Linked DNA regions of Caenorhabditis elegans. The protein of the gene in region 2 purifies or fractionates together with the protein of the main gene of each other region. This does not show direct contact. Each region holds a gene or a part of one and is shown on either strand. Other genes may lie near its edges. The genes, in order: csr-1 and znfx-1.

Region 1 (3,600 bases), on a different chromosome or scaffold from region 2:
TGTAACTCAACAAGAGTTGGTGTTCTCAGATCATTTGCAATAGCAAACATTGCCAATTGGCTTGTTGCCATATTTGTCCAACCATCAATTACATTTTTTTCTTCTTCCTCTTCGTCTTCTTCACCGTTTTTTTCGCTGTCGTTTTCTTCCTCAAAATCATTACCTTCTTCAACTGGATTAGATTTTTTCTCCAGTAAACTTTCAATATTGAAAGCCATTTTTCAATAGTTTTTATTTAAAAGACTTTAAGAAAATGTAGAGTTGAGAAGTTGCCAATATATATGACGATTAGGAATTAGATTGAGAATGAGAGCCTTTTCGGCTTCAGGTTTTGATTTATATTAGGAACCCGTGGGAAAGTTATGCGACAGGTGAGCTCTGAGTCTCTCTCCACCAATACACTCTTTCTTCAACCGCCCATGCTTGTAATCATTCTATGACAAACACTGAAATTTGAGTATTTTTGTTGAGGCAAGGTAATTGAGATTATTAATGGAATTGAAATTAGATTCTTTTGAGAAAATCAGAGAAAACCTTCCTAAGAAAATTCAGCTATATAGCTCGGCTACAGTAACCCCAAAAAAAGTAATTAACAAATGGGAAAGTGAGCATTGAAAATATTGGAAAATTGTCAAAATAATAGTGTTTTTTCCACGATTTGTTATCGTTTATCGTGAGATTTTGAATTTTCGGTTCTTTGTTATCACTTTTTTCATAGAAATATGAATATTTTTGAGCACACAAGGCATTCTCCAGGAGAATTATGAAACTGTGGATTATTTTTGGGAACGGACAGTTGAAGGTTTTCGCAAATTTAAACAAGTCTAAAACTTTTTACTTTTATTAATATAGTAATGAACTGTATTTTTACATGAAATGATTACGTTAACGGGACTCCAACTCATAAATCAAAAACACATTTTAACAGACAAAATATTTTATTGTCTACATGTTTGCTGTTAACAAAATTTTATCAAATCAATTGTGTAAGCAGATTTTTTATTTTGAATTTTTGTCTTTAATTCAAGAACTAGAAACTTTCTTGATACAAATTTAAATAGTGCATTGTTCTAGTTGAATTATCTACATTTTTCAAAATACCGCTAATCACTAATTATCGGTATGAATGTTCAAACTTTTGTATCTCTGATTACGGTTATCGTCCTAGTTCCAAATAACTAGATACATTTTCCAAAATCAAACATTTTTTTTTGATGCATAAACAGTTATGAATCATCTTTATTGCAGACGTGATCATGCCATTTCACCCCATTTTTATTGGTTTTCCAATGTTTATGGGAACAAAGAGCTTTTATTTATTTTCCTCTTTCTCTGATAATTTCATGAATAAGATTTGAATTTTTATTTTCATTGTATTCATATTTTCGAGTGTTCGGTAAGAATATCCTTTAAAAACATATTTTGGAAATTCTGTTTTCAAAATTATTTTTAGCCTTGATTCAATTTTAGTTTAAAAATTGTATGCTACAGTATTTATTGCTACAGTACTCATTCTCAGGATTTAGTGCTCCAGTAATAATTGTGATAACTTTCACCACGCGTAAAATATATTAAAAAAGTGTTGACCTTTGTCACGGTAAACGGCCAAAAAGCCACGTTTTTCAAGGTCAGCATACGTGGTGTTTTGTCAGGTTTCAAGTTTAGTTTATTCTATCGTTTTAGCTCCAAAATTGAAGCGAGACTTTCCTGTTTTTCGCAAGAATTGTTAGAGTTCTTATACTTTGAAGGTTTGTGTGATGCTTTTAAGGTTTTAAATTTGACTTAACTGTTTTCCAAATCTGAATAAATAGGTCTTCAAAAGTTTTTTTCTTTTTTCGAAAATCCTTCTTTTTTCTCTCAATCAATTGAAATCAGCTTTCGATATTTGTGTACCTCAAAATTTGCGGATAATAAACAACTGTCATCCTCAAAATTTCACAAAAATAATAATATTACATTTCTTGATTAATTTATCAATATTTTCAGGTTAGAATGCAGTCGGATAATGTCGGTCGTGGCCGTGGAAGCCGTGGTGGTTCTCGTGGAGGTAGTGGACGTGGTAGAGGACGTGGAGGATACGGAGACTCGTATCGTCCGGATTTAGAAACGAGAGAAACCCATGTAACGTATCAAGGCAAGGTAAAGTATGAAGGAGGAGACCGTCATGATTTCAACTATGAGAAGACGCCAACTGGAAGTTATCGTGGCTCGCATCGAGATGGTCAGGAAGGATCGAGAGGCAACCGCGGATCATTCAGAGGTGGACGAGGAGGTTACGACAGAAGACGTGATGATGAAGAATCAAAAGCAGAAAATCGTTTTGGAGGGTACAATCGGGGAGCAAATGGCGGAAACTATCGCGGGAGAACTGGCGGGAGCGGCAGAGGTGGATCGACCCAAACCACTACCGTGGATCCTAAATATAATGGATTGATCTTGGAAAATTCAGCAGAGCCAAAGCTTAAAGGTGAGTATTATTTGAGTATTATTTTGTATTTAAATAGCGACTGATTTTTAAATTAATTTTTGATCTCGCACCTGTGATTTTTCGGGGAACGAACCGAAATAATTTCGATCTCGGGCGGGAAATTGTTTTTCGAGATTTAAAAAAAATCTTCCCACCAACAAAGAAATACCAATGCGGAGGCACATAACAAACAATTTTGAGAAATCAGTAATTTGATAAAATAGAAGACTGAATAGTTATGAAATCAATAAAAGCTAACGAAATCAACATATTTTCTTTTTTTAGCATATTTAAAAATTGTTTCATCTGATCAAAACATTGAACAAAGGGTGGTGCGCGCTCTCTCACATGGATACGGTAGATGAAAAGTGTGCGACTTCGCGTCAGGTGTGATCACAATCTTCTAGAATTTTCGCATTCCCAAAAACTTGAAATTTAGGCCTTTCTCTGCGTTTAGTTGATCGTTTCTTTCCCGTTCTTATTTTGAATTTTGATATCATTGCTTTTATTTTTTAAATAATAATTTGAACTATACTTTTTTCAGGACTTAACTCTGACATGAATCAGAAGCAAAATCCAAGACTTGCCCTGAACATCTTCGGGCTTGAGCTCTCTGAGCGAACGATTTTCCGGCATGTTGTGCAAATGAAGCTCATCGATCGTCAGCACAATAAGGAGTATATTCTTACAACAATGAGTGCCAGGTGAGTGTACTGTTCGTTTAAAATTTACACTTTTATTTCAGAGGACGTGGAAACCGTGCAACAAAGCAAAAAGATAACTTTATTCTTCTTGACATCCTACTCAAACAGTGGGCCGCGAAGAAGGGTCAGCAGAATCTTCCTGCATTCGCGTACGACGGTGCACAGTCTTTATTCACTTTGGAGGGAATCAGCTTGGTATGATTTCATTTTTTTTTCTTTCTTGTATTTGGGTTTATAGATGGTCGATATCAAGAAAGAAGATGCTCTCGAAATCCCGGAACTTTCCAATTTTCTGAAGGATTCCATCTCGTTCCTCAGCGGCGATTTGGAGATCTCTTGTGAACCGGATCTCGAGAAACCGTCATTCGTTCAGACGGAGCTTAACGAATGGAGTGATCCAAGATTCTACGCTTATTTGGATATTGTGAC
Region 2 (4,143 bases):
TCGGAAGTGTCAGCATGAATCCACCCTTGTATCGAGCCGTTGTGAAAAACAAATGAAAGATTTCGAATAGCAATTCTGTACCCTCGGGAGTCCACGTGTCATTGTCAAACGAGCTTTCCAGGAATTTACTTTTGAGCTTCAGTAGAAAATCCTTTTCGAACAATCCGCGAATAATTGCTTTACTGTGATCCCGAACAATACTTTTTCGAGAACTGATAGCATAATTGACAACGTAGAGAAGTTCTAGATTGTGAGCTAGTTTTACAAACGGACGTTCGAACCGTACGTATAGTTTTGATCCGTTGATGAGCTTGGACTGAAAATTAAAATTTTAATATTAATTTCGTGTTTATTGAAGATTAGTTTTCCGGAAATTGCCGAAATAACTCACAGGTTGCAGTTTATCACAAAAATGAATAGATCTTACCAACTCAGAATCGTTCTTTTGCGGAACTCCTCTAACAAGGATTTTGGTTTCACACACGTTCCGCGCAGCATGTACATCTTCAGACGATAGAATATGATCTCCTTCTTCTTCCTGAACTTCTTCATCGCGGAATCGACGCCTCGAAGATGAACTATTCTCGCTCATTCTCGAAATGGTACTATGAGCTTGCTCGAATTGATCATTCTGATGATTTTGAAGAGATATTCCTGGTGGAGTTGGAAGAGATATTCCAGGTGGTGCTGGAATTGACAATCCGGGTGGTTGAGGGGTGGAATAACGGGATTCGCGTGTATCTGCTCGGGGAATTGGCGAAACTGAAGATAATCCAGGAGGCGAACTGTTTGAAATCGAAATTCCAGGCGGCGGGAGCCCTGGGGGGGCGAGGTTTCTGACCATTGAATACGGTTGGCGAATTGGTCTGAAACAAGATAATTTAATTATACATTATGAGAGAACGCGGAGAGCTCTAGCATTTTAAGAAAAAGTATTTTCTAACGAAATCAGTATGCCCACAAAAATCCGCGTTTACTACAGTGAAAAGGAACGCGGCCAGGTTTCTGGGGAAAGATGGGAACACGATAAATGTGGTTTTTTTTCCGCTACCACGATTCACGTTGTTTATGAAACGAGAATAAAAACAAAAGCCACTGCGATTATCAATGATTTAACAAAGGTCACCAATTCTATTATATATTTTTAAAAGCAATATCAGGAATTCAGGAAAAATTATTGATGTTATTGAGAAAAACAATCGAAAATTTTGAAATAATTATTCGTTAAATCCTGCGAGTCAAGGGAATATTTCAGTATTTCCAAACACACTGTTTAACAAATTCTGATGTGAAAACATGCTTATTCAGATTATTTTTTTCGAATTTGTGAAAAAAAAGCATATCAATCACAGGGGAAGCAACTAGTCACGGTTTTTCTGTTTTTCTCTACGTCTCGAACTGTCTATCTATGTTGGACGTGTGGAAAAAGAAAGAAATAGCTAGGCCATAAGTCTAATATGAACGAAGAGATATTGCAAAATTTTTGAATAGAAAGTTTACAACATGGTAACGATACCTTGTTTCGCGTTGATCTTGTGCGATCTGCTTGTGAGGGGCGTCTTCAACAAAGTCTTCGGTCGATACAATCGAACTCTTTCCAAAGATGAATTCTCTATGAAAGTTAGATGTTTTTTAATTATTTTTTCCTTCTAGATAGCCTACTCTGTTTCTACCTCCATGGGCATCGCGATGGATTCCGTCAGATTTTCCACTCCTTTGATGAACTGTGCAAATTTAGAGCAGTCACTTCTGAAATATGAATTTTTTCGACGTTATGCTGAACATTTACTCACTCCAGTTCTTCATACTCCATTTCGTTGATCCAGTTGAGAATTTCGTTGCGTTTCATATGGAAGATATAACAAGACTCCCTAAACATATCCAGCATGTTTTGGACTTCGTCTTCGTCTGTATGAGTGAATATTTATACACGTTATGTATAATTTACTTTTCTTACCGCACTGGTCTAAAATGAAAAAAACAACCGGAGTCGACAGCGGTCCTTTTTCATAGATCGTTTCACACTTCTGCAGACCTTCCTCGATGAGCTTTTTCAGAAGAAGATAATCTTCCCTGACTTCTTGATATTGCAGGAATTCCCGTTCATCATCGAGAAGAATACCTACTTCTATCATCGAAGTGTGACACCTTTTCACGAATTTCCTGAAACAATACGTTTTTTCAATAATTTTTGAATAATTTGAACGTACATGAAGTGCTCTGATGAGAACTCGCTTGTCGGATAGCCGATTCTGAAGCACATCCACGGACGCCGGCGCTGTCCGCGGAACGGGTCTTCGTCGAACTTCAACGAACCCATTTCGTAGGGCAACCGACGTCCGCCAACCTCACGTTGAGGTGGTTTATCTCTGGACATTAGCTTGTCAGATAGATGGATTGGTTGGTTTGAAGTATTTATCTGTAAAAGAAATAATTACATCAAATAAAATGGCCATATTCAAGATTTTGCGAGAGTATTGGAGTTTTTTGTTAAATTTTCAAGCAAGACTTTGTATTTCGTGAAAAATGTGATTAGTGAAGCATTGCCTCACGGAATCAGAACGAAATTAAAACTGGTAACGGAGTTTTTTGGCCTAAAAACCGAAACCGTCAAATCCTAAAATTTTAAACAAAGAAACATGTGAATTTCTTGAAGATTTCATCAAAAATACTTCTGTAATAGTGAAAATGCGTTGCCCAGTGATTTTTAATACAAATTTTGAAGAGAAAAATGGAGTTTTAACATCAAAAATACGAAAACTGAACAGATAAATAACTGAATAAAAAAAAATTTCCGCGCCAATACTTCCAAGGGTACTGTAGTTTTTTATATTTCGTGCCGAGACCATCTCCTCGTATTCAGTGGACGCTCCTTTAAAAATTGATTGCTTTTTACCATTTAATAAGGCAATAAAAACAACGCTTTTAATCGAATAACTTGAAACACAATTTTTTTAAACTTGAAAATAAAAAAAAATCAGAAAAATTATTTATTTCAAGCACCAACGTTTAACAATTCTTAAAATTGGTCCGCATGTGAAAAAATACCCGATTTTATGGATGTTCTGGATCATCGTTATTATTGTTGTTTGAATTATTGTTATTATTGTTACTAGAACTACTTTTCAAAGTTAGCGACTTCAAATCCTTCGAGCTCGAGTGAGAAATTGAAGCCAATCGTGAAGATATTGATCGTCGTAGGCGTTCATATAATGGAGCACACATTCTGAGAGCAACCTGAGAAATAAATTGTCATTTCCATTATAAATTGAAAACCGACCTCATATGGTGGAGGTGGTTCATCTGGTTCAATGAGTAGTTGTGAATCATCAGGATTTCCAATTTCTCTGTAACCATTGGACCAAGCAGAAATACCACCTATCGATAACGAACGTAACGGCAAATTCCGCCGACTCGATGGAATAGCACGATTTGCTCTACTTCCGTTTTCTAAACAACTCAGATTCTCAGCTGATTCTTCGAGATTTCCTTGAGCAGCAAATGTCATACTTCGGCTAACTCTAAGAGGTCTCGGCGTTGCTGTAATGGGCTCAGATAGTGAATTGTCGGTTTCTGTTGCTCCATAGTTCCGAAGTACGATATGTTCGTTAGTTGTACTCACGAATGGTCGTGGAAGAATCACAGGGTCCAGGCATCGAATATTTGGATAATTGGTCTACAATATTATCAGAGCGATTAATAAATATTTATCAGGAGCAAATGATCTTAAAATTTTAATATTTAAAAAAAACCTTACATTTGAATTAGCAATCGTATTTTGCATGAGCATAACTTCACTGTACGATGGTACAACGAAATGTTGTTCTCTCCTCAACAATGCCTCCAACTCAACAGTATCCATAGTTGATGTTCTGGTTAATGGCCCCGTGTAGTTGACCGAATTCGGACTGGAAAATGTATTTGAAAAATAAATACTTATACTACTTTTCTATCTTTTTTTGCTGTAGCTAATCTTTTCTTCCTGCCAAATGCCTAATGATTGATGGAACTCAACGTTTTTGAGCCACATCCCTTTATTGAAGAAAATTCGAAAACACTATTTTTGTGGCTATTTTAGGCAACTTCTTGTAGAAATATAAATTTTATACACTTCGCATATGAAAATGCTCTATATGACTGACA

What was found.
Region 1: the proteins of znfx-1 (region 2) and csr-1 purify together in Caenorhabditis elegans (affinity purification with western blotting, with the first as the bait; one study listed by BioGRID). This does not show direct contact.

Annotation. Positions count from the first base shown.
Region 1 is NC_003282.8:7,955,588-7,959,187, forward strand, and holds the start of csr-1 (Piwi domain-containing protein), read left to right. Parts: upstream 1-1,679; 5' UTR 1,680-1,748; intron 1,749-1,986; 5' UTR 1,987-1,992; coding exon 1,993-2,467; intron 2,468-3,011; coding exon 3,012-3,171; intron 3,172-3,212; coding exon 3,213-3,366; intron 3,367-3,409; coding exon 3,410-3,600. Other genes in the region: Homeobox protein ceh-19, read right to left, coding at 1-218.
Region 2 is NC_003280.10:9,211,936-9,216,078, reverse strand, and holds the start of znfx-1 (NFX1-type zinc finger-containing protein 1 homolog), read right to left. Parts: upstream 2,378-4,143; coding exon 2,211-2,377; intron 2,164-2,210; coding exon 1,958-2,163; intron 1,909-1,957; coding exon 1,794-1,908; intron 1,750-1,793; coding exon 1,663-1,749; intron 1,613-1,662; coding exon 1,517-1,612; intron 867-1,516; coding exon 428-866; intron 317-427; coding exon 1-316. Other genes in the region: ZK1067.4 (Transmembrane protein 151 homolog), read right to left, coding at 3,055-3,237, 3,281-3,676, 3,758-3,908. UniProt on the Caenorhabditis elegans protein: Epigenetic inheritance factor which, in association with the Argonaute protein wago-4, mediates small RNA-directed transgenerational epigenetic inheritance and thus balances the transgenerational inheritance of epigenetic information.